Linked DNA regions of Pelodiscus sinensis. The protein of the gene in region 2 binds, or shares a complex with, the protein of the main gene of each other region. Links are inferred from orthologs where the notes say so. Each region holds a gene or a part of one and is shown on either strand. Other genes may lie near its edges.

Region 1 (7,286 bases), on a different chromosome or scaffold from region 2:
TTTGTGACCAGGACTGTCTCACTATGTGCTTTTACAGTTCCTAGAACAATGAGATCCTGATGTTTAGGAACTGTTACAATAAAGTCATTAAATAGATACATACATATTTACATCCATCCATCACTGAAAAGACTGATAAAATTAAATTGTGTGAAAAATATGGTTTATATTAAACTCTACACCCTCCTTCTTATATAATAGTTATGCCTGTGTACTTATGCAAAAATCATCCTGAATCCTGGAAAAAGAAAGACACTAGAACTCATGAGGTTTAACTAGTAATAGCTCAGATATTAAAAGATGTCAAAAAAAAAACTGTCAAGACAACATTAGAACATTCTTGGATAAACATTACTAGCAACAATCTGTAATGTAAATTCATAGCTATTTTTACGCCTTATAGCCCTAATTTATCTGAAATATAAAACTTCATTTTAACTTAGTTAATGCTTGATTTCTAAATACCAACTTAAAACACAATTTTGTTTCTGGGACAATAATCAGACACACTTGAGTGCAATTTTCTTTCCTACCATAAACCTTGAAACTGTATTATGTAAACCCTTACACACCTTACTAGTGTTATTAGTGCATCTCAACTTCTCGTATCTATATTTATCAGTAATTGTACACACAAATGCTGCACAGCATCAGCTCTATAATATATATAAAATACAACAATTGTCCTGCATAACAGCTTTAAGTTTTCCTGTAATACTATCAACAAGGGAATGCTTATTAAGTTAATGGAAAGACAATCATAAAGAAACCTTACTGTAAAACACCTACCAATGCTTTGACTCAATTCCCATTAATTTTCACACAATCCAACTGAACACAAACACCTTTAAAATCAGCTGTACACCATGCTATTAAATTCATTGTTTATGGAAATTAAATAGCATTAAAATTATTGGGTAAGACATTTTATCAATTTTTTTAAAGTACAATCTATAAAATGTTATTCCACGCAGTACGCATATGAAAGCTTTAAGTTTCAGAAAGTCTAAAGACGGCTTAATTTTCCTACCAAGAATCATAAAAATCATATCTATATTTGACAATAGCTACTTACTATTATGTTTTGGAAGAGTATGAAAATGGATAACGATGTCAAAAATTGATAAAGTTTCCAAAGGGAAAATTTAATAATCTGAGCTTTCCACTCCTTTTGTGACACTATTTACCATGTGAAAATCCACAGTAGTAAGTACTGAAAACCCAAAAAACTAAATTAGATAGGTAGTGTTTAAGTCTGACTGTTTTCTCTAAATCCCTGAAGGATTTCTTTGTTCATTTTAAACATGGGACTATAAAAATAAAAGATTTTATGTTTTTATGGTTCTGTGGTACTTGGAGGAAATGGAAACTGCAAGGCACACAAGGGACCCTCGAAGAGTACACATACATACACCGATCAGTAATATATGACTCAGCAGTAGGTGACAGACAAGACACACACTAGCATCCAGTATTCCCTGTAAACCGAGCTCTTGGGGGGCAACACAGGAAAGATTCATGTGCCACCCAACTGATTAGCAGAGTACTCACAGCTGGCAGCATGTTTTTCTACTGGTGATGCACAACTGCACATAAAGTTTATTCTGCACACAGATGGAACACATTAGAGGGAATACTGCAGGCATTTAATGCTGCTTGGAGCCCAGTAGCGTTTCAAATTTTCCAGTGCCCTGGTTGTCTCTAAGCCTCGGATTGTCAAATACTGGGACTGGACAGAGGGGATGGATTGCTACAACTGTCCTATTCTCTTCATTCCCTCTTGAAGCATCTGACACTGGACCCGATATGGCCATTCTTATGTGCGTTAGTCCATGCAAGTCAAGCGCACGCTGTTGCAATTGGTGGCTCTGCTGTCCAGTCTGAGGATCCACCCCAGACGGAAACACAGACCAAGGAGCCCTCAGTGCCAATACTTCAGCACTTTCCATGCAAGCAACTGAGTCTATTTAAATGGGATCTCGGGGGCGGGGGCAAACCTTTCAGGGCCTGGCCGGAGTTTGACACACACTTTCCACCGGGCAAAGGGGAGGGACGGGAGCTAGAGTCGCCACCGAGCCGGCTGCCGCCCCCCACGGAGGGGCAGCAAAGCAGGGCGGCCGGGAGCAGAGGGGGCTGCTACTCACTGGTTAGTCGGGGGCGCGTTGAGCGGGATGGCCACCTCCTCCTCTTCGTACTCCGGCCCGTCCAGCGAGTCGCCTTCATCCACGGTGCCCAGCCCCCCGACCAGCGGCAGCGGCGGGGGCGGCAGCGGCGGGAAGCCCCCAGCGGGCGGCCCGCCTGTTGAGCCGGGTTCCTGCGGGGCAAGCGCCCCCCGAGGCATCTCCTGCCCCTGCCCGGCGGCCACTGCGGCGCCTCCGCCCGCCGGAGGGGCAGGCCCCAGGACCAGGAGTCCCAGCGCCGGGCACAAAGGGGGGCCGCTGCCGCCCGGGCTGCCCCCGCCGGAGCCCTGCGGCCCCTTGCCCCGGCACAGGGCAGGGCAGTGCCCCGGCTCCCCGGCGGCGCTCGCCGAGCCGCCCTCCTCGCCTCCGGCCTCGGCCGCCATCATGGTGAGCCTCGCCCCCTCCGCACGCCGGGGAGGAGGCGACCGAGGGGCCGAGACCCCCCGCCCCGCCCCAGCGGGGAGCGGAGCCGGGACCGGGACGAGCGAACTTCCCCGGCGGCGGCCGCGAACAATACCCGGCTGGGCGGGGGCTGGATTCAGGGCAGCGCGGCAGGGCCCCGGAGCGGCTGCCTCATCGCCCTGCGGCCGGGAGGGGAGCGGCTCCCGCGGAGACTCACCCCGCCCGCCCGCAGCGAGCGCAGCTTCGGCACGGGCAGGGGCCAGGCTGGGCTGGGGGAGGCAGGGGAACTGGCGAGCGGCTCCCGCCACAGTGCGCATGCGCCCGGGGACCGCCCGCCGCGAGGAGGGGGTTGGCTGAGCCCGCGCGCGCTCCCGCGGTTCCTGCCGCCGGCTCTGACTCAGGGAGCGGCCGGGCTCAGAGCTGGGTTCACCTGGAGCTTTGCAAGGGCCGCGCGTGGGTGGGAAAGGAAGAGCTGAAGCTACCAAGAATATGAGCACAGGGGCGGGTTGCAGTGTCAAAGAAGAGAGCAAGCCCAGCGCACCGCCCACACCCTGACTGTTCCCAACCCACCAATTTACAGTGCCTAAATAAAGAACGTTTGGCGCCAGGCCGATTGCATCTCACACCGGTACTGCGATCTTTCCCCCCAACCCCCTCGCCATAGCACTTCAGAACAACTGGCTGGGGTCCTGTTGGATTCACTTGCCAGATGTATGTTTTTGCAGCGCCTTTGCACTAGCATACCCTGCGATCCCGATTAGTCTCTTGAACTAAGAAAAGCTGCAGATGCATCAAGCAAAACTGGGGGCATTCAAACCATAAACAGATGTAGCCCAAATCCTGAAATCCAGGGAGAGGTTTTTTTGTACTGCTTTTTTTGTTCTAGGACGTGGGGTACAGATTTTGTTAGATTGTGTTGTTTGATCTATTTTATTTGTGAACTAGTAGAATCAACACACTTGTCTTGTTTTGATGGTATTCTGAGTTTGTGGGTTAAATTTAACTGAACCTGATAGGAATCAGGAATCTTTTTTTCTAATGCTTTTAAAGCAGGGGAGGAGCACTGCACTTTCCATTTCTATGCTGTTATGTCCACACTTGTGCCTCTGACCCACACTCAGTACTTACCAGAAGTACTTACAAGTGACCTGGCTTGGTGATGCAGAACCTATTATCCAGAGAAAATAACTTACATTTCTTACAGATACTGACTCATATGGCTTATAGACTTTAAGGTCAGAAGGGACCATTATGATAATCTAGTCTGACCCCCTGCACAGTGCAGGCCACAGAATCTCACCCACCCCTCTTAGAATAATCCTCTCACCTATGTCTCAAATATTGAAGCCTTCAAATACTTTGAAGGCCCCAATATGCAGAGAATCCTCCAGCTGTGATCTGTGCCCCATGCTACAGAGGAAGGCGAAAAACCTCCAGGGTCTCTGCCAATCTACCCTGGAGGAAAATTCCTTCCCGACCCCAAATATGGCGATCAGCTAAACCCTGAGCATGTGGGCAAGACTCACCAGCCAGACACCCAGAAAGTTCTCTATAGTAACTTATCATAGTGTCATATTACAATCCTTCCCCTTGGGGGCCTGAGCTCAGGACAGGGGATGGTGGTGGTACCACACCACCTGTAGGAAATGTAAGTGTGGGATGGAGTGCAGGAGGCTCAGGTCAGAGGGTTGACATGTGGGAGGTGCAGGAGTCATAGTTGGGGTGAATGAGGGGCTCAGGGCACAAGATTAGGGAATGGAAGTGCAGAAATCAGGGCAGAAAGCTGGCAGGGAGGGAGGTTCGGTGCAGGGGCTGGGATGTGTGTGTGTGTAGGCTCAGTGATGAGGCAGTCCCCACTGGTGACTGTGCACTATGCTGCTCCTGTTCCCAGCCAAATTGGAGCAGTGTTGGGCATCGGAAGGAGATAAGGCTGAGTAGAGTGCTGAAGCTCCCCTGGGATCCTGGCCCAGCACCTGGAGTCCAGGCCACTTGGTGTGTCTCCCCCTACCACTGGTCCTGTCACCCTCACCAGGGGATTTCCAGGCCGCTGGCCCTGCACCCCTCTCACTAGGGGCACTCTAGCCACCGGCCCTGCTGCCAAGCAGCTCTCTGATCTCTGCTGTCCCCCTCCTGGGGGCTCTTCTGGCTTCTAGCCCCAGGGTCCCTGCTGCCAGCTTCAACTTTGGGTGTGGGGGGGAGGGGAGAAAAGGATTAAGGCCCAACCCTCCGCTCAACACTTTCTTACTGGCACGCTGCACTAGAGCACATCTGCTTACTTTCACCTCTGCCTACTATATGTGTACATAGGTTTGGTGGATGGGGATCCAAAGTCATATACCTAAGCTAATGCAGTGCTTGTTGTGCACCAATATGAGAAGAGGGAGTGAGGTTCGAACTCACAAGCCAGCCTCACTTAACATTGGAAATGATCTTTTTTTTTTAATGAAATGTAATTTGTTTTGTAAACCTATCCATATGTGAAAGTATATCTCTTGCTGCTAAAGATTTACCTCTTGTTATTGAAAGCCCTCCAGCGGTAGGTAAGTGATAGCGGAAGCAGGTATAGGATACAACTGGAACCATCTAGCCACAAACATGCACATAGATGGCCTCGATGTGATGATCATCTGTCTGCTGAAAAGGAACAGCAGCAGCTCCCATACCCTGCCTAGGTGACAAAGCAACCCTATTTAGGGACAGAGCTGCTTTCTTCAAAAGAAGAGGGGGAGAGAAAACAATTCCTAACCACAGCTTGTTCCAGTGGATTCCTGTCGGTTAGCCAGGACCGAATGATATCCAATTTTGCAATCACAGGAGAAAATCAATGACTAAACAGACACTACACTTTGCCTCATGGAATATATGCATACTTCTTGACAGTGATGATCACCATGAACACAGGACAGCAATCATTGGTAGAGAGCTTGTACATTATAACATCGATGTCACAGCCTTAAGCAAAATACATCTTGTATCAGCCAGTTCACAGAGGTTGAAAAGATTCCTCAGTGAGCTAATGATTCACAGCTGGTTATACCTCCAACTCTTGATGAGGTACAGAAAGCTGTCAAGCAGATGAAATCTGGAAAAGCACCCGGCAGTGATGTGCTCCCATCAGAGATTTATAAAGCTGGTAGAGGCCTGCTGATGCCATCTCACCCATTTATTTATCACTATTTGGCAGAAAGAGCAAGGCCCCCAGGACTTCAAAGATGCCTTGATTGTACAAATATACAAGAGAAAAGGTGACCGTGCCTGCTGTGATATCCTCCAGGGCATCTCACTGCTGTCTATAGATGTTATGATCCTGGCCCGCATCCTCTACAACCATCTGTCATTACATGTGTTCACAAATGGCATTATTCCTGAAAGTCAGTGTGGATATTGTGCCAGTCAAGGCACTGCCAACATGATATTCACAGTCAAGCAGATCTAAGAAGACAGCAACATCATAATCTCTTAGTGATTTTCATTTACCTGACCAAGGCGTTTGACATGGCCAACACAAATGGATTTTGAAAGGTACTTGGGCAAATTGGCTGTCCTGAAAAATTTGTCAGTATAATTTGGTCCTTTTATGATGTTATGCTGGGTCATATCCTTAATAATGGATAGACATCAGCACCTTTTGAAATATAACATGGCACAAAGCAAGGATCTTGCTCCTCTCCTTCCCAGCTCCTCTCCTTCCCAGCATCCTTGCTCCTCTCCTTCCCAGCATCTACTTTTTGATTATGCTATTAGTTGCTTTCAAGGATTGCACGTTGGGCATACCTATGCAGTTCCTAACTGACAGAAGCATGTTCAGCTTTGAAAGACTTCAGGCACCAAAGATACCAAAGTGTTCAATTCAACTATCTGTGACCTTCTTTCTGATGACTGTGGATTGTTGGCTCATCCAGTGGAGAACTCACAGGAGATTTTGATCCTTTTGTTACTTCTGCTCACCATTTTGGACTCACTGTGAGACTCCAAAAGATTGAGATTATGTCTCAGTGTCTCTTCAGAAAGAGCCCAGCCCTCCTACGATCACTGCTGCTGATACTGTCCTTAGGTTGTTGACAAGTTTTGTTAGCCTGGAAGCATACCATTCTCCAGCATTAATGCTGCTGCTGATGTATCTGTTCAACTAGCCAAAACCAGCGCTGCCTTCAGAAGATTGACCAACTGATTATGGAATGGCCATGGTGTTAAAATTCATACAAAGGTAACAGTTTATCAGGCAGTTGTCCTGAACTTCCTGATGTATGGCTCAGAGTCATAGATCATACATAGCTATCACATTTTGAAACTTGATCAATTTCTTATGCGCAGTTTCAGGAAGATTGTCCATGTGAATTGGTGGGACGAAATTCCTAACACAGAGGTCCTTAAGCTGTGTGGTGCCATGGGCTGCATTGCTGAGGTTATGAGGATGGATGATACATACATACCAAAAATAATCTTCTACGGCCAGCTTGTTCACGGAAAGTGCTCTATTGGTGGTCAATATAAGCATTATAAAGGCCAACATGAAGTCATGTGGCATATCTCCCAATGACCTAGAAATCATAGCTCAGGAAGATTGTTCTGGTAGCAAACTATTGTACAGGGTCTCAAACACTTCGAGAATCAATGTATCCAGACATTACAAGAAAAGTGTAGGATCCAAAAAGAGTGTATAATGCCCTCAGATGGTGGATTTTTATGTGACATCTGTAATCG
Region 2 (7,193 bases):
ATGGTTACAACACTGCAAATAACTTCAAGCATGTGAGCAGTGGGACTACCTGTACTTAACTTAGTGTCCAAAATTTCCCCTTTTCCTAGACCGATTTTGCTAATTGTTTAAATAACATAACAAAATTCAGCCTTACACTCCACCCAATACATCTGAGGATGTTTCTGGGGTTCCCCTTCCCCTCTTTCTATCCCGAACCAGTTTTCTGTGCCCACTCTCACTTCCCAGAGTGGACTTAATGAGCTGCACTTTCCACAATGAGTCATGAGCAATCCGTATTTTCAAAGAAAGTCCCAATACTTGCTGACAGGGTGAGATGATAGAATAACTAAAGCCTGCCTAGTCTACCTTGAGGCAACAAGAACTCTATGGCCAGCCCCACCTCTCAGATCTATGGAGAGGAGCTTTCCCCATTGGACACACTTTGGAAAAGAAGTTTCTAAATATGAAAGTTGATAAAGATGGCAATCAAATTCAGTCCTGGTGTAAGCAAATGCAACTTCCAATGACATCAGCAGGCGTTACACTGGCTTACACTAGAACTGAATTTGGCTCTGTATTTCTAAGAAACCAGCCCTGTTCTGGCACGTATTTCCTTAATTCCTCCTAATGACTGTGTTTCAGTTTTGATCCATGTTGCCAGATAATGCAATGCAAACCTGCTGCCTTACAAGCCTAACAAGGACTTTTATTGACTTGGACCCTCCTGCTTAGATGATGCACGGCCACCAATGAACAAAGAGGAAAAGGTCTCAGCTTCTCTCCTCACCATAGCAACCAAGCACCTTATGCTCAATACTTTTCTGTTTCATAAGCTGGTTGTCATGGCAAATTATGTATGTCAGAGGGAAACAGGAAGCATTCTGTGTTCTCTAAAGAAAACAAAACACATTCTCAAACTTTATTTCTTATTAGTTCACTTTTTGCCACTCTGCAAGTGACCCTTAAGCTTTGGGGAGAGCCTTGCCAATGGTGTGGCCGCAGTCTTCTAAATGTGCTAAAGGTACCCATGATTATTAACTCTGATGCATCTGCAGGCGAGCTGGATTCCAGGAGCCTACGTTATCTGGGAAGAGAAGCAGCAAAATGGTATTGGGGAGTCTGGCATTTTCACCAGAGAGACCAGTTTTCTCCTCACCCTCTGGAGAACCAAATCCTGAAACCATGTGAGGCAAGAAACTGCACGGACCTTTTCTTCCGTCCCCGACCCTTGCAGATGCCTCGATTTCAGTTGCACAGAAGATGCCTATGCACACTACGAGAAGGGACCAAATGAACATGCGGTAGTCACAGGATGGAATCATGGAAATGAGCAATAATGTTCTGCTACCTAAAACAATCAATGTAGCTGGTAAGGGAGAACCCCCTGCTATCCTCTGGGTTCTAGCCCAGGCACAGTTTGAAACAGCTTAGCAACTGCTGCTTCCCAGGGCCACTTTCTTCTACCTTCATCTGCCTCGCAGCCCCTTTCACAGAGCAACTCACTCCAGTGCTTTGTTCCTAGAGAATCCATCTGCTTCCCAGCAGCTTACACTTGATGCAAAGCCATCCCCTTCTACTTGGTTCATAAGCTTTCATCCCAGGGATTCAGCTGCCACCCCACGCTGCAGATGTGTATAACTCTAACCTCTGAGATTTTCATCAGTTACACAGTTACCCAATTACCCACTTTTAAACTTCCCTAGTGGATCAGTGTTCAGTCATAGAAACTGCCATGAAGGCCCCCTGGTTGGCAGTCTAATTGTGACCAGGTCTACACTATGCAGTCACAGCTGTATAAGCAGGTCATGAAAAATCCATACCCCTGAGCGAGAGTTATATGGTCCCAGTCCCTGGTGTAGACAGCATTATGGCTCTCCTTTTGGTGCGTGTGATGGGCCCGCCGAGGCCCACACTAGGACCAACAAGACTCTGCCCACTCTATCAGCAAGAGGGTGGGGCGACACGATGCCAGGAAGCAGCAGCCAGCAGCTGCCGGAGCTGCGCGGATGGCAGAGGGCCATGGTGTGCGGGGGCGGGGCCCCAATACAAACCCGCGGTGCCCCAGAGCAGCGGGACGTTGAAGGGGCAGAGCAGCATCTGTTGGCGGCCAGCGGCGGGCCACTTGAAAAGTCCTGGAGAAGAGGGCAGCGGGGCGGTGCACAAAGTTGGAGGCACCTGTCGCCGCGCTGGGAGCAAAGTCTGCCACCCCAGTGGAGGAGCGGCCTGCATCCCCCGGAAGCTCGGTGCAGAGACCAAAGTGCCAGAGAAGCCGCTGGACAGGTAAGCCCCTTGGATGAACCCAGGGGGGGTCGGTACTCAGGAGGGGGATAGGAAGCAGCCTGGGGCAGAGTGCTTTAGGCGCCCGTGGGCGGCGCGCTTCAGGGTGGAACCCTGTCAGCTGGGTAGGGGTCAAACACGCTGAACCCTTAGGGCCCCGGGCTGGGACCCTGTGGAGAGGGAGGGCCTGGGTCCCCCTAAATCCCCTCCTCCCCCCACACTGCATTCTAATTGCGCATTGAGTACTGCCAGCCAATTGGCCTAGTGGACAGACTGTCATTACTGAGCCCCAAGAGGGGGCAGGACTTAGGGGCTGAGAGACCTCAGGGATTTCCCCTCCCCCTGACCTTTAAGACGGTGGGCTTGCTGGGCCCCACGCTCCTGCCGGCTCATGCCCTTAAGCCCGTCTTACGTGGGTAAACTGAGGTGGTGGGCTCGCAGGGCCCCGCCCTCCTGCCAGAGAGTAGGAGCTCGCGCCCGTAAATCTGCAACAGTATGGAACAGCTTCACTGAAGCACCGCTGCAGTGTTTTACGTGTATACCTTTTATTATGATGGGAGATGCCCAGGAGTGTCCTGATTTGGGAACAGAACAACTCTCTTGTTAGGGCCCTACCCTAGTTGTGGTCCATTTTGGTCAACTTCATGGTCATAAGGTTTAAGCAATCTAAATATCTGATATAACGAAATTTACAATATGAAATTTCATGGTGCTATAATTGTTGGGGTTCTAACTCATTAAGGCACTGGGGGTAGGGTCACAGAACTGCTACTTTTACTTCTGCACAGAGCTGGGTAGCTGCAGAGTGGCAGCTGCTGGCCAGGAGCCCAGGTCTGAAGGAAGAGCTGCACCAGCAGCAATGCAGAAAGATGGCATGACATTGCCACTCTTGCTTCTGCACTACTGCCTGCAGAATTGAGCCATGGGTCAGTAGCCACCACTCTCTGGCCACCCAGCTCTGAAGGCCGCAATGCAGATGTATGAGTGACATGGTATGGTATTGCGAACCTTACTTCAGTGCAGCTGCTGGCAAGGCGCTGCTTCCAAAGCTGGTCACCCAGCCAGCAGCCACCCAACACTCTGGCCACTCAGCTCTGCAGGCAGCATGGAAGTTAAGAGTGGCAAAACCACAATGCCTCGAAAATAACGTTGTGACCTCTCAGCAGCTTCCTTTGTATCAGGACCCCTATCTAATCTGCACCGTGAGATTTGCATAGTATAAGATAAAAGCACAGAAGAGACCAGATTTCATGGGGGGGGAACCAGACTTTATAGTCTGCGACATATTTTTCATGGTTGTGATTTTGAATTTGGTAGGACCCTACCTATTTCTAAATGCCCAGGCCCTTCATGTTCTGTGGCTAAACAAAACTCCATTCTCCAGGGTCTTCCAACAAGCCAGCACCTTTCCCCAGCACTCCATTCAAGTTGAAGAAAAGGGAAGGACAGAAGGAAGGATGCCTTGGTCCCAACCACGCTAAAGCCAGCCCTGGGGTAAATCAGCACAGCTCCACTGAAGTCAATGAGGTTGCTTGAGGGGTGAGGATATGGCCCCCCATATCTGTTTCCTTTAAGGAGTGGGCGAGAAGAGGTGGGAGATCAAAACTCATTCTTAAACAACGTTTGCCTAGGTGTGTCCAGCTGGACCATTTGTGTGCTCCTCGGCCTCTGATGCGTCGGGGGTGATTACAACTCACCCTTGGCGGAACAAGTCCCTGTTGCACCAGGTTATAAAGCATCGGTACCTCCCCGCGTCGCTGGACTCCACGGGCTGGCAACGAGGCGCTAAAAATAAAAGCCGAGGAGCAATTCCCCGCCCGCTGCCGCAGCTTCCCCATAACCCGCCCCGTGCCCCGGCCGAGGCGGCAGCAGGGGGCGGAGGAGAAAGGAGGCGCCGTTCGCCTCGGTGACTGACGCGGCCCGCAGCCCACCAGGAGGGTGGCTCCGCTCCCCGGGGCCCGGAGCGGCCTATCAGCGGCGGCGGGAGGCGGTGAGTGACGGCTGGGCGGGGAGCGGAGCCTGGGCGTGTGCCGCTCGCCGCTGCCGCTGCCGGGGCTCGCCCCTGGTGCACACACACACACACATTGTCCGAGCCGCCGCCGCCGCTGCAGCCCGCGAGCGCCCCAGTGCTCGGTGCCAATGCGGGGAGGGCGCTGCCAGCCGGGGGCTTCTCCACCACCCCGGTGGAAAGTTCGCCTGCTGCTGGGCCCGGCGCGCCGCTGACCCGCCGCCGGGAGGGAAGCAGGATCTGGCCGGGAGGGGGGATTTTTGTTTTGTTTTTGCCTTTTCCCTCCAAACTTTGTGTGCGCCGCTCCCGCAGAAGCCGCCCCCCCGCACTGAGGATTTGCCCCCTCCCCCGGCTCTCTGTCTCGCAAGGAAAGCAGCCTGGGCGGGCGCGCTGGTAAGTGCCCCCCGTCTCCTCCGCTTGGCGGGGCAGCGGGGTTGGCGGGTGGGCTGCCGAAGTGCGGGCAGGGGCGGTGGCGCTGGGCGCGGGGGGAGGAGGAAGTGTCTCTCGGCCCCCTTCCCTCCCCCGCCACCCCCCGGGAGTGCTGAGGGCGGCATTGCAGTGGCCTGGGCAGCGTGTGCCCGGGAGCATGTGTGCGCCGTAAGGGCTGGCGGCTGCAGTCCAGCATTGCAGAGCTGGCTTTGCCTGAGCAGGCGGCGGCGGCGGCTCGGCGGGTCGCTCGCTTGATCCTGCACCAGCTGTACTAGGAGGCTCCAAAGTGAGCTGGGAAGGGCAAACCGCCCCTCTCCGCAATGGGAAAGCGGCTGCCTGTTTTAAAAGTGTGTGTGTTGGGAGGGTGGGGTGCCTGCCAGGTGGGTGGCGAGCGAGCACTTGCATGGGGTGAGACGTGTGTTCACGGCTGTGCTTGTGAGAGGGGGCAGCCGCCAGGGGAGGGGTCACGTCTGTGAAGGGAAAAGCAAGACAACAGTGGGTGTGTCTGGGAAGGGATCTGAGCTGGGGTGAAAGAGCAGCTTTGGCCTTGGATGTGTCGGACGCTGCACCCCGCTGGAAGAAGGTAGTGAGGGGAGACGGAGAGCCACCTGTTAGAGTTTGTGTGTGTGTGGGGGGGGGACTGCATTTTTCTTCCTATATTTCTCTGAGTATTTACAAATGTGTACTCCCTACATCCGCCCGAAGCTTCCCCTTGATTTTCAGACCCTTTTGTTTCCTGCAAATCAGGCCCCAGCAGCTTGCTTGGGAGGCCACAGGGGCGGTTCTCATACCTCCAGATTTAAAAGCTTGTGCACTAGTATCGTGGCAGTCATGTTAACTAATGTGTGTCATCTGGTAATGGTAGAAATGTCTCCTCCTGTATGTCCCAGCCCAATGGCCCTCTAGTAGCTGTGGCATTCCACATCCCTCTGCACCTTTTGCACCAGGGAGCCAGTCGCCCTGAGATCTTAGGGTTGCTGATGACTTGTGTGCTTTCTTCTTAGCTTCCTTTCTGGTTGCCAAAATCTGGCAGGGTTTCCAAACGGGAAAGGAAGGGAGGGGGAGAATCACCTGCTGTCCTGCCCTCCCAGTCTTACAATGACTGTGCTTTCTGTAAACACTTCCTGCCAATCCAGAAAACATGGGGAAATACATGGGAGGGGCCCTGCATCCTCCAGGAGAAGGCAACAGCCTGCTGTCACGTTTCCTTTCCCTATTTTTTCCCCTGCCTCGCTCGTTTTTCATCCCTCCCAGATCCCTGGGTATCTCTCTACTGATGCCTGCAGTGATATCACTGTCGGCAGCAGCTTAGGGAGTGGTCTATGCTGATAGCACAGCAAGACTTCTAATAGCAGAGCCTGGGTGGTCACTGTTCTTTCAAGTCCTGTGCCATTGAATTGCTGCAGTAATAATAACTCCTCTGTCTGTCTTTCATTCCAGAGGAGGTCCTGCAGTCCTTTAAAAGGCAGGGGTTAAAACAGAATGCTGGGTTTTTTTGGGGGGTGGGACAGGAGAAAGAAATCTTTCAAGGATCCTTCTAGGGTGTGTCTTGCTTTCTAGCCTCAAGTGTTATGCCATGGCCACCCACAGGAAGAGGAGGGATGGACATAACTCCCCATGATATGTCACTTGGGAATAATGTCAGGGGAAACTCTTCAGAACCTTCTATAGCCTCAGGGTGAGGCTTCCTGTCTCTGCAGTTGGGAGGGAAAGCCATATGGAAGTCTGAGTGGGGATTAGCAAACTCCGAATGGCTGATGGTTAGCTCTTGAAATGCCTTGCACAGCATTTATACAGTACATCACTGTGGGGCGCACACTAGGGGGTAATGATGCTGAGATTTTCAAAGAAGCCTTTGAATTAGGTGCGAAACTCTCTTGGACCTGGCCTGCACTCAGTTGTTCCAGTTTAACCGCAGGGGTGCTTTTAAACTGACTGAAAAAGGTGCGAACACTTGAGTTGGAAGGATAGGACATTCCTTGTATTGGGCTGAGCTTATTATAAATGAATTTTGCTTGTGTTGGTAAATTTTACAGGTGAGCTAAATTGATGTAACCTATTCTAAATTGGTAGAAGTGTGTCCACAAAGGGTCTGCCATGGTGTAACTAAGTAGTTGTTAAGAGAGCTTTAGCCTCCTTTGAAAATCATAGCCTAAATGTGCAAGAAAATTATGCAAAGAGGAGGGCTGGCTGGCTCCAGGGGTTGGAGATGCGATGCAGATCTTTTATATCTGTAAGAGCTTGTCTACACTGGGATTTTAGCCAGGGATGTTGTACTGCTTCAACAATCCCATCCCAGCATAGATGCATTGCACTTGTTTAAATGCAGTGGTTGCAGCAGATGAGGTCATAGAGTTTAAGGCCAGAAGGGAACACTAGATCATCTAGACCAGGGGTGGGGAGCCTTTTTTGAGTCAGGGGCCACTGACCCAGAGAGAAATCAGTAGGAAGGTCGCACACAAGTGAGAAGCAGAACAAAATACCCCTGTGGGCCCCC
Region 3 (7,181 bases), on a different chromosome or scaffold from region 2:
TTTCTCATTCATTGTCAAAATGCCAACTCCCACCTTGCCCACTGACACCAGCCTCCATTGTCCACTTGTTACATTTTCAAACAAGCACCTTTGTGCCTTTGACAGTGCTGCCCCTCACACTTACAAGAATCTCCCTGCAAACATCCACAAAGCTACCGCATTGATCTCCAGAAACTCACCTTCACCATGACGCCTGCAAAAATGGACAGCAGTTACACCATCGGCAGTCTGAAACCAGTCGGTCATAATTAATAATATGCTTTTATTCCCCATATGTTTTTATCCCTCTGTTGTCTCGTTTTCTGTTTTGATTGTAAGCTCTTGGGGGCTAGGATTGCCTTTTATTGTGTTTGTTCAGCACCAATCATAACAAGGTTGTGATCAATGACTAGTGAACATGGCTGCTATGGTAGTACAAATAAACAATATGTGCCAACTATTCGTGTACAAACTATAGTAATTACAATTAGTGTTTTTCAGTTACAGTTACATAGGTAGAAAGTTTGAAGGAACAATAGCTCATTATATTTGAGGTGACCTATAACTCAAACTGTTGGGCTAGATAAACTGGCTTTTGGCCTGCAAATTGCTGGTTGTATTGTGAAAATTTAGATGAAAATTAGTCAAAGTTAGAAGAGGAATAAAAGTGGATTCATAATGTAATCTGCTTGCCCCGTAAACTATAGAGAAACTGTATGTATGGCAGGGTTATTAAAAATCAACAGGTATTTACATCAGGCCACACAGGTTAGTAAAGATGGGAATAGAACCCAAGTCTCTTTTCAGAAACCTACAAATTAATCTGAAAGAAGATCTATCAGATGAATAGCCTTTATTATTTGTATTATATTTTTCCTGTGTTTGAAACTATTAGATACCGTTTGTGATATTTTTCAACTTGGTTTTCCTATTTAAATAATTTTATTTGAATTTTGCAGCAGTTAGTGTAGCATAATTAATTCTAATATTTATTAAAATAATTTTAGATGCCATAACATTTTACTATTATTTATTGTCACTTTTAAAATATTACACAAAATATATTCCAGTGCACATTAGTAAATAAATTATCCTTGTAATAGCTAGTGCATTTTTAATTATAAATTTATCCATGTCTCCCTTTATTTATGATAGTGATTCTCTGTACTGCAGTACAGTATACCTTTGAGACACTGTAAATTACACATTCATGGACATTGCATTTCACAAAATATACCAGGAATCTGATTTTTGAACATGCTTAATATTATTATTATTAGCAGCTAATAATGATAATAGCAACTAATGTGAGCATTGGCACTCAGTGCAAACTGACCCATAAACTGCAGTGCCAATGTCCACCTTTTGGAGGAGATTGCATTCTGTACATAGAATCAATGAGACACAATAGGCTGTATTGTATGGCTTGTGTGCACTTAGGTCTGTCAAAATGGATCGCACCGAAAAGCAAATTATTCCCAGCAATGTCCATTTCTTCCAGTTAAAGGCTGGCAGGCACGACTTAAGTAGTTATCACTTGTGGAATAGTTTCTCAAAGAAAGTGATGAAAGCTGCCACTCGGGACATTTAAAACTCGTCTGCACCAAGTCATGGAGAAAAGGCTGTAATTCACTGTACAATTATGTGCATTGAAGATGTACAGAGGTTCTAACTCATATAGCACATAAAAATCCAGCACCTCTTTGGGGTGGGTCTCCTTGAACTCATTGTGTCCTGTGCATTGATCCCCATACTAACTCCTTGTACAGTTTTATTGCCAATTGAAGATAATTGTCCTAATAAAGCTATCAAATATTCAGGACCAGCTTGATCATCAAATATATCATTCATTCATTATACCATCATGCCTGGGCTACACTTAAAAATGTTGTAGGTAGAACTATATTGATTAGGAGTGTGAAACCACCCAAAGGTGCTGACATCCCTTCTAGCCAGGCGGTGCTAGATCTCCCCTGTGCTTCAGGCCCTGCTCCCAGTCCCACTCCTTTGCCCATATCCCTGCCCCACCTCTTCCGGGCTCCACTCCACCTTCCCCCCTGAGTGCACCTGGTTTCTTGCTCCTCCCTTGCCCTCCCAGCTCATCTTAAACTGCAAATCAGCTGTTCACAGGAAAGTGAAGGGAGGAATTGGTCAGCGGGCCACTGCATAGTAAAAAATAAAAGCTGTAATAAGTCAATTTCAATTGTAAAACTTTGAAAGAACCATAAATGTTTTTTTCAGAGTTAGGAATAACTTCCATTCCCAAGGTGTTCAAGAACTCAAGTTCTATAGTAATCTGTTTGCTGGTACAGCTTATTTCAGTTGATGAACCAATACCAGCCCCCCCAAAAATATTGTCTGTGCAAGTTGTGTTTTCACTTGTTCTGCCCTTTTTAGGCTATACAAGGGGTAGCTGTCTGCACTTCTCTGAAACAACAGATCCCACAAAGCACAAAATGAAGCACATGAAAGCCAGAGACTAAAGGGTATAAAATGAGTTCAGATTGGCCTGCTCTCCTTTAGAGAGTCTGACCATGTTTGGGACACATTGCAAAACCATCCTCTTTTATAAGTTTTGCTACAATGACCAAGATTAATGTGTGGCAGAAAGGAACAACCAAAGTGTATCAACAGAAAGTTAACTAAGTGCATGCATAATTTACATGGGAAATAGTGACCAATTACAGTGACGAGCACTATAGAAAACCCCAGCATGAATTCTACATTGGCCTGCTAAACCCAGGGTTGTGAGTTCAATCCTTGTAGAGGCCATTTAGGGATTTGGGCAAAAATTTGTCAGGGGTGGTACTTGGTCCTGCTGTGAAGGCAGGGGACTGGACTCAATGACCTTTCAAGGTCCCTTCCAGTTCTAGGAGATAGGCAATCTCCATTATTAAGAATACCTTTCCCCTTGAAACATCTGATCCTGGTCATTGTTTGGAGGCAAAGTACTGAACCAAGTAAATCCCTGGTCTACTGTAGGTTAGCAACTTGTGTCCCCGAGAAACAGGTAGGCTATGTCTATACTGTGCCTGTTTTGTGCAAGAAATATGCAAATGAGGCTGTATAAAATATTGCTGAGCCTCATTTGCATAATTAACAAGGCTCCATTTTTGCACAAGGGGCTTTTGCAGAAGAGCCGTTCTTCCTGAAAAAATGAGGAAGAATGGCTCTTGCGCAAAAACCTCTTGTGCAAAAATGGAGCCTTGTAAATTATGCAAATGAGGCTCAGCAATATTCTAGACAGCCTCATTTGCATATTTCTTGCACAAAACAGGCGCAGTATAGACATAGCCATATTGAAATAACCCAGTATGAGAAATCTGGGATGCAAATTTATCTTAATTACACTATTTTCTTGGCTGCATTTGTTGGGTCTTTCTTATGTCATACCTCTTATATTGGCCAAACTGGTCAGTCTCTATGACAAAGGATAAATGGACACAAATCATACCTCAGAAATGGCAACACACTTAACCTGTAGGGGAACATTTTAACTTGCCAGGTCACTCATTCATCGATTTAAAAAGTAGCCATTGTTCTACAACGGAATTTCACTAAGCAATTACAGAGAAACCAGTAGTCCTGCGCAGGGATGTAAGTGACAAGGGGTGAGGCTAGATGGCCCTGTGGTCTGACCCAGTACGGCCGCTCTTGTGCACCCTGGCTAGTAGCCAACTCCCCGGTGAGCCTGGCTTACTGGACAGCTGGGTCACTATTCGACTGCTCGCTTCCCACCTTGCTGCCTCCGCAACAGAGGCAGCAAAGGGGGCGGGGCAGCAGGGGCTGGGGCAGCTTAAAAGCCAGTCCCCCCCCCCGCCCCGTCTCCTCAGAGGGGGGGGCGTGAGCCGGGGCTGCTCAGTGCGGGCTGGGCCCTGGCCCCCACCAGTCCGGAGCGCCGGGCCGGCGGGGGGGGCGGGGCCCTGTGCTCGCGCGGGACCTGACGCCGCAGCCGTTGGCCTCGAGAGCCGCAGGCCGCCCCGCTGTTTTCCGTTACGCGCGGAGGGGGCGGGGCCTGCGCGGCGGCTAGTTACTCGTTGGCCGAGTGGCCCCCGCGCATCGCTCCGCGGTCTGAGGCACCCGAACGAGGCGCCTTGGCCAGGGCGGGGGCGCGGCGCGGCCACGTTCCGCGCGCATGCGCAGAGTGCAACGTCTACCCCCCCCCCCCGAGGCCAACGGCGTTTGGCCCCGGCTTTGCTGTCTCCGTCACTTCCGCTCGGAGGTTGTGTTTCCGGGTTAGCGGGGGCCATACCGCTAGCTGGCGTCGGCAGAGCCTTCTGCGGCCCCGGAAGCGGCCCCGCCGGTGGGGCAGGAAACGGCCCCGGCCCCGCAGGAGGGCAGCGCCCGCCAGGCCTGTAAGTGGGGACGGGCCCCGCCGCGCCGCGCGCCCGGCCCCTCACGCTGGGCAGAGCGGGGTCGCCCCTGGCCGGACCAGGAGCCCGCCCCCCCGCCAGGCCGAGGCGCGGAGGGAAGCCCCGGGGGCCTGTTCCCGGCGAGCAGCGCTGAGCCCCCCCCCCCCCCCCCCCCCCCCGCCCGCCCGCCCACAGGGAGTTGGCACCAACCGCCGCTTCCGCCTCCTCGCGCCGGCGGCCCGTGAGCGGGGATGGCACGTGGCCGCCCGGCCCGGGCGTGAGGCTGAGACCGAGCCACAAACAGCCGCTCGCTGCCGACCGACAGAGCTGCGAGACGTAGCGCAGCGAGCCTCGTGCCGAATAGCGATCGAGATGCAGCCGGGTTAGTCTGGTGCAGCTGAGACACAAGGCAGGACTGGGCAGCACTTCAAAGACTCACAAGATGGTTTATTAGGTGAGGAGCTTTCGTGGGCCAGACCCACTTCCTCAGAGCAAATAGTGGGTCTGGCCCACGAAAGCTCATCACCTAATAAACCATCTTGTTAGTCTTTAAAGTGCTGCATAGTCCTGTCTTTTGTTCGAACCACGTGTTGTTGCCGAAAGGCGGTAACTACTAGAACCCTTAGCATGCCTGTTAGGGCACAGTTCTGTTGCTAACTCATAACATTGTGTGGGTGACAATGGGGCGTCAGCTCCTGTGACTTAGAGATTCTTCTGTAGAATCGTACATGTGCTCTGCCTAAAAGTCTTACTAAATGCAAGAAACCGTTATTCTGCCTTTAGGGTTTTTGAGAGACTTATGTCCACATATCAGAATCCTGTACATATGCAATTAGTGTGGTCTATTTAGAGAGCTTTATGGATGTGTCGCGTTATAGTTTATAAAGCCTACTTAATGCTCGCCAATCCTTTTGCAAGATTTCATGGTAATGGCACAAATAAGTAGAGTAAATGGACAGTAAGCTATAGTTGGGATAAACAGTGTAGATCCAGTGGGCTTCTAAGAAGTGATTTGAAAGGGGAAAATTTGTGAAGATTTGGTGGGACATGATTGAAAAAAAGGACTCGGGTGCATTATAGAACTTGAGAAACTGTTGGCAGGCTTTGGTTTAGATCAGGTGTGGACAATAAAATAGCAGCATTTCCGCAGCATTAGCCCCCTTTGAGCCGCTGACACTGTATTTACCTCACTTTCACAGGTATGGGGGGGGGGTCATGATTCCCATTAGTTGGGAACGGTGATCGGCGGCCAACAGATGCGGTGCTCCTCCATATCTGTGCAGGTAAATATGGCGGTTACAGCGGTGTGGGAGCCCGCCAGGTGCTGACTCTGACAGACTGGATCCAGCCGGTGGGCTGGTATTTGCCCATCCCTGGTTTAGATACTGAGTTTCTGATTCCCATAAGGAAGTACAATGGACCTGATATCCTGGGATAATACTGTAATGTATTCCATTGGGTTCTGCTATTGCACTCTCGTATTAACATATCCTGTTGTGTGAGCTACTTTGATTTGGATCACCCAACCCCCTCTAAGATGTTACCCTGGCAGTTCAGGGTGCTTGCAGTGTAACCATTAAAAGTGATGATACTCTGTGTATTTGCTGGTCCCTTGCCTTGTTTTCTGACACCCATGAGAAGGGGTTGCCAGAAAACTGCAGTGCTCACGTACTGTGGGAATTTCAGTATGGGAGAGGGTGTGGTATATTTTCTATTAAGACGAAGATAAGGTTTGAAATTAATCTTATTAAAATAAGCACTAATTGGTTGTCATCTTGGCCAGGAATATTATAGGCCTGGATGCCCCAAATGGTTCATCATGTGGTTTAGTTTACAGACAGTTGTCAAGTAGACTATTTTCAGTTTAGCTCACCTTTTATTTAGGTCCTGTCAATACTAAGGATGTTAGTGTGTACTCGTTTACATGATTAACCAATAAGGCTGGGCTCATTGGTTAATCCTAACAGTTACCTGCAGTCCCCCAGTGGTGCCTCTGTATCAGAGACAGTGGGGGCAGGGTGGAGGGCGAGAGCCACTTCCCGTAAGGAGCTGGCTCCTGCAGAACCGCCTCCCCCCGCTGCCCAGAGAGGCAGCAGCGCAGAGAGGAAGGTGGGAGGCAGTGCTTCGTGGGACCTGGCTTAAAAGCTGGCTCCGCATAAGCACCAGCTCCCTCAGACCTGCCTGCCTCTCATAGAATCATAGAGCTGGAAGAGATCTCAGGAGGTCATCAAGTCCAACTCCCTGCCCAAGGCAGGACCAATCCCAACTAAATCAACCCTGCCAGGGTTTTGTCAAGCCGAGACTTAAAAACCTCTAGGGATGGAGATTCCACCACCTCCCTAGGTAACCCATCCCAGTACTTCACTGCCCTCCTAGTGAAATAATTTCTTCCTAATATCCAACCTAGACCTCCCCCACTGTAACTTGAGACTATTGCTCCGTCCCTACTGTGAAACAGCCTTTCTCCATCCTCTTGGGAACGATGATAGAGAGGCAGCAGTGCTGGGAGTGGGAGGTGGCACATGGGAACTGGTATATGCGGGAAGCCTTCTTTCAAGTCAGCTGCCTGTGTGTACTGTCTCCCAGGGAGCCACCGGTCACCCATGCTGCTGCCCCTCTAACAGAGGCAGTGGGGGTGGGGTGAGGAGCAAGGGGGAGCATGTGGGAGCCGGTTTAAAAAGCGACGCCTGCCTGCCCCCACATGTATACTAGTAACAGCTAAAAAATTCAGCAATTACACATTTATTTTTATAAACCTGTAATCGATGAATGTTTAACATCTCTAGTCAATACACAGGCTGGAACTAAAATAACTACATTGGTTGTAATTAAAACTGTCCCCATTATTTT
Region 4 (7,924 bases), on a different chromosome or scaffold from region 2:
CTTTGGCTCGAACTATTATGAACAATTCTACTGTATCAGCTAGGCAATGCCTTCAACTTCTAGACTACATGTCACCCAATGACTTATGTTTTAGACTAGGCAGGCTGCACATGTGCTGCCTTCAAACATTGATGTGCATATGCTTTAAACCTCACAAGCACCATTTACAGACATCTCTTAAGTGTCCCCAAAAGGGTAAAGCAGTCACTATATTGGTTTTTACAGCCTCAGAACCTATGTATGGGAGTACCATTCCAACAGAGGCATCCTTCAGTCACAATTACTATGGACACCTCTCTAGAAAGATGGGGCATGCATCTGGAAACTTAACTGGAAGTCCACAGGAGGTAAACATTTATCTGTCATTGTACCATGAAAAATCTTCCTCCTATAAATTACTGTTTCCATGTGGAAAACCACAGTATCCAGGGATGATGGTCCCTAACAGACAGAGCACAATACATCAATGTACTAGAGCTTTGAGTGGTCAGACAAGCATGTGAACATTCCTCCTGTTGATTTGCAACAAAGTAGTAAGAATCCTCACAGATAGCAGTGCATGCATGTTTTATATAAACTGTCAAGAAGGTGCGAGATCATACCACCTATCCAAAGAAGTCATAGCACTGTGGCATTGGTGCATGAAGAACCAGGTAGAGTTCTTACTAGGTTCGGAGTTTTAACATCTCTCTGTGGTAGAGAAGGAACTGAGGGACAGTTGATGATGTGTGTGCGCTGGCCCATCACTACGCAGCAAGATGGCACCACACATGCGTGTCAGCACTCGGGATACCACTGCTAAATATATCTGACTTTAAGTGCAGGGGCGCCAAAACACCTGTAGTGGAGCATCCACAGGGACGCCCATCTTGAAGAACACCAGTTACTGCACAAGGTAACCTCTTTTTTCCTGTCCTGCTATATGGGGAGGTGACTTGTATATGTAAGTGGTCATTTCAGACTTCCTGCAACCGAGTGGTGCCCAACGCACGACTCTTTATGAGGTGTCTTCAGGATTGGCTCCGAACCCAATACAAATCACACATTCATTCAATGACCAAAAGACTAACACTTCCATGCTCAGTCAAGGCATCTCTAAAGTGGTGGACAAGAACGTCCAACCTAAGCATAGGCATACCCTTCCAATCCACAGAACTGACAATAGTCATCAACACAGATGCATCACTCACGGGCTGAGGCGCTCACATGGAAGGAAGAATAGCTCAGGGCCTATAGTCTGCTGCAGAGCGTGCTCTACATGTCAATATTTTAGAACTCGGAGCTATCTGCCTGGCATGCCAAAAATTGCTCCCTCAAGTCAAAGGGATACACGTCTGCATTTACACGGACAATATGGCATGCATGGTCAATATAAACTGCCAAGGCGAAGCATGAGTACAGCCTCTGTGCAAAGAAGCCATAGCCCTTTGGAACTGGGCATTAGCGCGAGATATCTGTGTATCTGCTTTCCATCTGCCTGGCACACTCAATACGACAGCAGGTGCCCTAAGCAAAGCCCTTCCCCAGGAACATGAATGGGAGCTGGACCAGACAATCCTGAAGAAAATATTCAATCAATGGGGTTTCCCCTACATAGATCTGTTTGCCACCAGAACCAACAGAAAATGCATGATGTATTGCTCCTGAGCAGGCATAGGGAAACAGTCCTTAGGGGACGCTTTGATTCTAACATGGAGTGCACACCTGCTATATGCATTTTCCCCATTTCTCCTCCTAAACAGAGTCATTATAAAGATATGGAGGGACAAAGCAAAGATCATCCTTATAGCCCCATGTTGGCAATGCCAACCTTGGTTTCCCCTATTACTCAGGATGACACAAAGCCATCCAATCACGCTACTGCAAGTCCCACACATTTTCCATCACCCACAAATCAGGACACTTCACCCTCAACTCCTCATGCTTCAGTTGAAAGTGTGGCATCTCAATAGTTCACTAGCATAGAGCTCCACTGTTCTCAGCAAGTCCGTGAGGTCCTCCTGCACAGCAGAGCTCCTGCAACAAGGAAAACATACATCAGTAAATGGACCTGTTTTACACATTGGGCCAGCAAGCGCAACATATTGCTGCAAATCTCCCCACTCCCTGTAATTCTGGAATACTTATTGCACCTAAAACAGTCTCACCTCTCGTTAGCCTCAATTAGAGTGCACTTAGCAGCAATAACTACATTCCATGCACCAGTGGATGACGCCACTTTATTTGCGCACCCCACAACCAAACGCTTTCTGAAGGGTCTACAAGCCTTATGCCCTGATGTGTTACCCCCACAAGAACCATGGGACCGTCATCTAGTATTAAGAGCACTAACAAAACCGCTCTTTGAACCTATGGCCACATGTGCCTTGTGCCACTTAATGCTGAAAACGGCTTTCCTAGTGGCAGTTACCTCAGCACTGAGAGTAAGTGAACTGGCCGTGCTCATGTCCGATCCATCCTTTACCATCTTTCTCAAAGAAAGAGTGTCTATGCATCTGCACCCCAAATTCTTACCTAAGATCTGTACAGCTTTTCACATCAACCAGACAATACACTTACCTGTGTTTTTCCCAAAGCCTCATGCCAATGCCTTTGAAGCACAGATGTACACTCTGGATGTCAAAAGAGCTCTCTCCTTCTACATAGACAGGACAAAGCCGTTCAGATCTTCCCCACAGCTGTTTGTTTCCATTGTGAACCGTACCATGGGGAAGAAAAGATCACAGAGACTATCCCAATGGATATCGGAATGCATCACCACATAATATTTGCTTAATAACTTACCTCCACCTGCTTCAATCTGGGCGCACGCTATAAAAGCAGTTGCAACCTCGGTAGCATACCTGAGGAAAGTTCCACTGGAGGACATTTGCGCAGTGGCAACATGGTCCTCGGATCACATCTTTGCAAAGCGTTATTCGTTTGCTTCAGGTCCTCTACTACATACTAGACTAGCAAAAGGTGTCCTGCAGACAGCATGCTTACCAGATCTGAAGTCCCTACCTCCTTAACATGGATTGCTTGTAGTCGCCTTCTGTGGAGCACCCTTGAAAAAGAAGAGGAGGTTACTCACCTTCTGTAACTGACATTCTTCAAGATGAATGCCCCAGGGGTGCTCCACTACCCTCCCTTCCTCCCCTCTACTTTGGAAACTCAAAAAAAAGAAAAAAAGAAAAACTGCAAACACGTAAATAACACTCCTTCTCCGGGTTCTGGATAGAGAAGGGACTGAGGAGGGAAGGGGGCCACGTGTGCGCATGCGCGACCCCCTGATGCACTACTAGGCAAAACTCCATCCAGAGGTGCTAAGATGCTCAACACCTTCTGTGGAGCACCCCCAGGGAAGCTCATCTCGAAGAATGTCAATTACAGGAGGTGAATAACCTCCTCTTTTTTTCCTGCTTCAGCATATTAACAACTTTGTTTCCTTCAGACCAAGCTCTCTTTAAAACAAAACAGGGCCACTTTTCCTTTTTTTACACCCACAGTGTGCTTTTACATACAACCCATGTAAAAGCAGTTGCATGGATATGTGAATGGTTCAGAAAGCCTGTCTGCTGGTGCTGCTTGTACTGTAACTGGGCTTAGTCACTTCTGATGTAGGCAGTTAACTTTTGCATAACTCTCCCTACATTTTGTTAGTAAATGCACAACTGAAGTAACTGCAGAGCCCAGGTTATTCCTTTGAAGGTTTGTTGTAATGTGATCTTTTCCAGATGGTAAAGAGTCTCAAAGAGATTTTGGTATGTCCGTATGCACTTCTTGGGAGAGACAGCACAGGGAAAAAAAGGGGGGGGAGGGGAGAGGTGTAAATTACCTTTTCAGCCTTCCTATTCTGGGCTGTTTTAAGGAATGGTATGTTCCCCCATGTAACCTGGAGCAGTCCGCAGGTTTACTTTCACTGATGTCAGCCTTGCCAGGCATGCCTAAAGGCTTTGCCTCAGCCCTACCCCTTGTAGAGATTAGCATTATATACAGACTGTCCTCACTGTAAGTCCAAGATACGTTCCAAAAAACGTGGACTTATAGTGAAACAATTTAAAGTGGGGAATTTTTTTCCCACTGCTGACTTCCATTTAAGCAAATTGGGGGGAGTGTTTCACATGACTTATAGCGGGGAATGAGAGGACTAATAGTGCATCAGTTCCTACAAATGTCAATGACTTTAGTATGGAACTGATGTATACCGGGGGTGACTTATAGTGGGGATGCCCTGTACTCCTATTTATCTTCCTCCTATGTTAGGAGCTGCAGGAGGTTGCTGCATGGTGCTTTTATGACAACTCCTGCACTGGAGGAATTCTACCTTGACCATATGAGGCTACTCTGTGAACCCTATATGCCTCTAGAGTTGTACATAGGATTTCTTGTTCCCCCATTAAAAGTATAGATTTTGAGTAATTGTTTGTGAAGTATCCGCTTTCTCCCTAAACAGTGTTCCCCTTTGTAGATCTGAAATACCATTATGGAGGGTCAGTAGAAAAGGATATCTGTTGTTATTAGCAGGGCAGCCTGCAGCATGGAAGTGCACAGGGAGACTGTATTTCCAGTAATCAACTGAAATCATGCCTTTGTGATACAGTTCTGACAGTAGAATTTGACCCATAATGTGTACAGGATAATTCTTCTGAAAATGTTCAACAGTGTTTAACAGCTTATTTAACAGTTCCTAATTTTGGGGAAATCTCTCTCTCTCTCTTGTTTGGAGTTATCAGTTTGCAGTGTATCAGTGACTTCATATTCTGGACTAGTAAAGAATTACTAGTTGAAATCAGCAAAAATAGTTTAAATGCTAAATCTCTTCAAAAAATTTTACTTTGCAAGAATGCATGTAATACCATAAGTCTGAAACAGTGCTTTCAAATAAATTTAACAATACATCATTTAATTTGCAGAAATGTAAACATTAGCAAACATGCAAGTTGCAGTATGTTTCAGCAGTATGATATATTCCAGATTTTCTTTGTGTGTGTTTTTTTAAATAATGAATTAAACTGGGTGATAAGAGCAATAGGTTTCACAGAAACTAAAGAGGTGAGGCAGCACCATGTGAAATTCTGCAAAGGGATTAAGATTTGGCACTGCACTCCTTTTCTCTGCAGGCTCTTAGGCATAGCCTCTGTAGACGAGAACAGACTGTCATCTTGTATAGCCGAATGCTATTTGCTTGTTTTGGATGTTTGTTTTATTCCAGTTTCCATTCTATTGCGTTGTTTTTAGTACAAGTTGGTATGATATGGATGCTGTGGACTACAACAGAAAAAGGTACCGTTTATATAGTATCTAATACCAAAAAGTTTTTCTTATTTTATGAAATGCAGGAGGACCTTTCTTGTGTAGACAGTAGAAAGCAATGTTGCAGCATTTTATATCAATGCATTTTTCACTTTGACATGCTTCTATTTTTTAGTCACTGTTTACTAATCCCTGCAGATAAAAAAAATAATACTCTCATAATGTCTGCATTAACTCTTTCTAATTAAAATTGTGCACACACAATTGTCTATAGGTTTCCTAGCTTGTTGCTGGTCAATTCACTTTAAAGAATCTTGCAGTATTTAATAAAGTGATAAAACTGTGATGAAATTCTGACTGCTTATGTTACTGGTTCCTAGAGTGTTTCATTCTAAATATATGAACAGTGTAATTGCTCAACTTGCCTTGTCTTGACTTTTTTGTTTTGTTTTGGTAAAGAAAATTCTTGCACTTAGCCACCGTTCATGATGTCAACATTGAAAAAACCTCAGCAAACATTTTACTGATATTTAGAAGTAAATGTTAGTTAATAAAGCAATAGGAGTTTTGTAATAGATGCATGGTGTTCATTGGAAAATGCATAAAATCCATAAAGTGAATACGTGGAATGTGCTTATGTCTGTATTCAATCAAATTATATATAAAAAGTAAAAGCACAAATAATGGGACTGATCCTGCACTCAGTGTTGTCAGTAGATGAGACTTTAATAAGAACAGCATCAGGACCTATGCTGGGTTATTAAGTATTTCTTTTTGTATGCTGAAAACAGGTTTCTGTTTATATCTTCCAATATATACTTGTAACATTAAAAACATAATGGCACTTAGCTGCCTGTTAGTTAATCAAAGTGCAAGCATTATTTCCTTTTCATTGCTTTTTGTTGTAGTTAAACTCATTGAATAAAACTTGAAAATTGTGTTTATGTTCAATATACTTGGCTAACCTCTTAAAGTACTGTATTTCAGGAATTTAAACTATGAACACTACTTTTGACTTGGCTCAGACAATTTGCTTTGGTTAATAAGGAATCGTGTTACCTATCATTTTAAATATTGTGATAAAAATATTAAAAGTGAAGTAGGTAGTGACGACTGATTCTCATTTTCATTGCTATATCAATGGGGTCACGCTGTAGTAGAGTCTTCTAGTACAGTTTAACTTTAGACAGGAAGCTTACTAATTGTGCTAACATCATGTAGGCTGCAAAAGTGCTGGAACTAGTGTGGGGAAGGGTGGGAGGGTGTGCTGCCGCATCCCCAGCTTGAAGTAGTTTGGGAGGATCAATGACTCTCAGCGTCCTGATTATACAGATTGTTCTAGCACCCCGGTAGGCTTGGAATCCTATGATAAAACTTGGTGACCTTAAGAATAGGGCTCAGATATTGACACGTTCCTTGGTATAACTATGCAGTAGTAAAAACAAAGAGGCAATCAAATAACAAAACAACTTCATACTGGAATTTACATAAATAATGTATTTTAATAGCTAAATTGGGGTATGTCTACACTAGCTCATTAGTTCAAGCTAGGTAGGGTAATTAGGGCAAGCGGAGTTGCAAATGAAGCCCGGGATTTAAATATCCTGGGCTTCGTTTGCATGTTCCTGGGTGCCGCCATTTTAAAATCCCCCTTAGTCCGAACTCCGTGCCCACGGCTACACGCGGCATGGAGTAGGTAGTTGGAATTAAAGATCCTAATTCGAACTACCGTTTCTCCTCATGAAATTTGTGTTCTTAGCCTACAAGATTTCTATATATAAAATAGCTTGGGTATGTCTACACTGCCACCCTAGTTTGAACTAGAGTGGCTAATGTAGGCATTCGAAGTTGCAAATGAAGCCCGGGATTTAAATATCCCGGGCTTCATTTGCATCTTGCCAGGCACCGCCATTTTTAAATCCCCGTTAGTGCAGACTCCGTGCCCGCGGCTACACGCGGCACAGAGTAGGTAGTTCGAATTAGGCTCTCTAATTTGAACTACCGTTACTCCTCGTGGGCTTCATTTGAAACTTCGAATGCCTACATTAGCCACCCTAGTTCGAACTAGGATAGCAGTGTAGACATACCCTTGGTGTTTAATGACACTTGTATTAATGATACTTGTACAATTGACTGAACGTTGCATCTTTGTGTTCAGTGGTAATTGATTGTTCTCGGTTGTCTATTTATAAAGCCAAGGAATGTAAAATACATTTTGTGGGACAACTGTACAATAGTAAAGAACACTGGAATCAACAGAAGCTCTGCACAATTAAGAGTAGAGTCTTCCAGTTATTTTGGTCATTAATGTGATGAACCTACAAAAGGGATTCCATTCTAATTCTGCTTAGGTTCATATACTTCTCTCATCAGTGTTACATAGTAGATAAGGCTGTTTCTGGGTTCCTGTTAATTCCCAGAGTCATGCTTCTGGAGCAGAATTAAGGTTGGTTGTGTGATCTTAACAGTGTATTTTCAAATATCAGAGTGCTTAGGACTCTATAAAATGGAACTTTAACCTTGAATTTCCAGGCAACTATTTATGTTTTTATAAAAAAATAATTGACAAGGATTCACTGGAAAATGACAATGTATTAAACATGAATTATGGAGTAAACAATTTTTAGCTTGGCATTTACTTTATTTGAAAATGGTTCAGTCACCTACTAGCATTTCCTCCTCCCTGTGC

The links.
Region 1: the proteins of HRAS (region 2) and RASA1 are in contact, whole or in part, in a crystal structure (PDB 8BOS), measured with the Homo sapiens proteins. The link is inferred for Pelodiscus sinensis from reciprocal best matches to the Homo sapiens genes HRAS and RASA1. Residues at the interface, in NP_001123914.1 of Homo sapiens: Gly12, Gly13, Ser17, Ile21, Gln25, Asp30, Glu31, Tyr32, Asp33, Pro34, Thr35, Ile36, Glu37, Asp38, Ser39, Tyr40, Arg41, Gln61, Glu62, Glu63, Tyr64, Ala66, Met67, Lys88, Lys117; in NP_002881.1 of Homo sapiens: Gly746, Arg749, Glu783, Thr785, Thr786, Arg789, Ala790, Thr791, Glu799, Lys803, Ser833, Arg894, Gly898, Phe901, Leu902, Arg903, Cys906, Pro907, Leu910, Asn911, Met914, Arg928, Ile931, Ala934, Lys935, Gln938, Asn939, Asn942, Val944, Ala948.
Region 3: the proteins of HRAS (region 2) and MAPKAP1 are in contact, whole or in part, in a crystal structure (PDB 7VV8), measured with the Homo sapiens proteins. The link is inferred for Pelodiscus sinensis from reciprocal best matches to the Homo sapiens genes HRAS and MAPKAP1. Residues at the interface, in NP_001123914.1 of Homo sapiens: Gln25, Asp33, Ile36, Glu37, Asp38, Ser39, Tyr40, Arg41, Leu56, Glu63, Tyr64, Met67; in NP_001006618.1 of Homo sapiens: Glu277, Ser278, Phe280, Ala286, His287, Gly288, Phe289, Ser290, Leu291, Ile292, Gln293, Arg311, Arg312, Lys313.
Region 4: the proteins of HRAS (region 2) and PLCE1 are in contact, whole or in part, in a crystal structure (PDB 2C5L), measured with the Homo sapiens proteins. The link is inferred for Pelodiscus sinensis from reciprocal best matches to the Homo sapiens genes HRAS and PLCE1. Residues at the interface, in NP_001123914.1 of Homo sapiens: Ile24, Gln25, His27, Val29, Glu31, Asp33, Ile36, Glu37, Asp38, Ser39, Tyr40, Arg41, Glu63, Tyr64; in NP_057425.3 of Homo sapiens: Phe2138, Pro2146, Glu2147, Gln2148, Pro2149, Arg2150, Thr2151, Val2152, Ile2153, Lys2154, Lys2171, Tyr2174, Ser2175.

Annotation. Positions count from the first base shown.
Region 1 is NC_134716.1:76,468,553-76,475,838, forward strand, and holds the start of RASA1 (ras GTPase-activating protein 1), read right to left. Parts: upstream 3,001-7,286; 5' UTR 2,900-3,000; coding exon 2,145-2,899; intron 1-2,144. UniProt on the Homo sapiens protein: Inhibitory regulator of the Ras-cyclic AMP pathway. Stimulates the GTPase of normal but not oncogenic Ras p21; this stimulation may be further increased in the presence of NCK1.
Region 2 is NC_134714.1:121,452,208-121,459,400, forward strand, and holds the start of HRAS (GTPase HRas), read left to right. Parts: upstream 1-4,177; 5' UTR 4,178-4,249; intron 4,250-4,297; exon of another isoform or gene 4,298-4,660; intron 4,661-7,193. UniProt on the Homo sapiens protein: Involved in the activation of Ras protein signal transduction. Ras proteins bind GDP/GTP and possess intrinsic GTPase activity.
Region 3 is NC_134732.1:25,319,219-25,326,399, reverse strand, and holds the start of MAPKAP1 (target of rapamycin complex 2 subunit MAPKAP1), read left to right. Parts: upstream 1-4,178; 5' UTR 4,179-4,334; intron 4,335-4,613; exon of another isoform or gene 4,614-4,713; intron 4,714-4,908; exon of another isoform or gene 4,909-5,614; intron 5,615-7,181. UniProt on the Homo sapiens protein: Component of the mechanistic target of rapamycin complex 2 (mTORC2), which transduces signals from growth factors to pathways involved in proliferation, cytoskeletal organization, lipogenesis and anabolic output.
Region 4 is NC_134718.1:41,466,625-41,474,548, reverse strand, and holds the start of PLCE1 (1-phosphatidylinositol 4,5-bisphosphate phosphodiesterase epsilon-1), read left to right. Parts: upstream 1-4,914; 5' UTR 4,915-4,929; coding exon 4,930-5,219; intron 5,220-7,924. UniProt on the Homo sapiens protein: The production of the second messenger molecules diacylglycerol (DAG) and inositol 1,4,5-trisphosphate (IP3) is mediated by activated phosphatidylinositol-specific phospholipase C enzymes.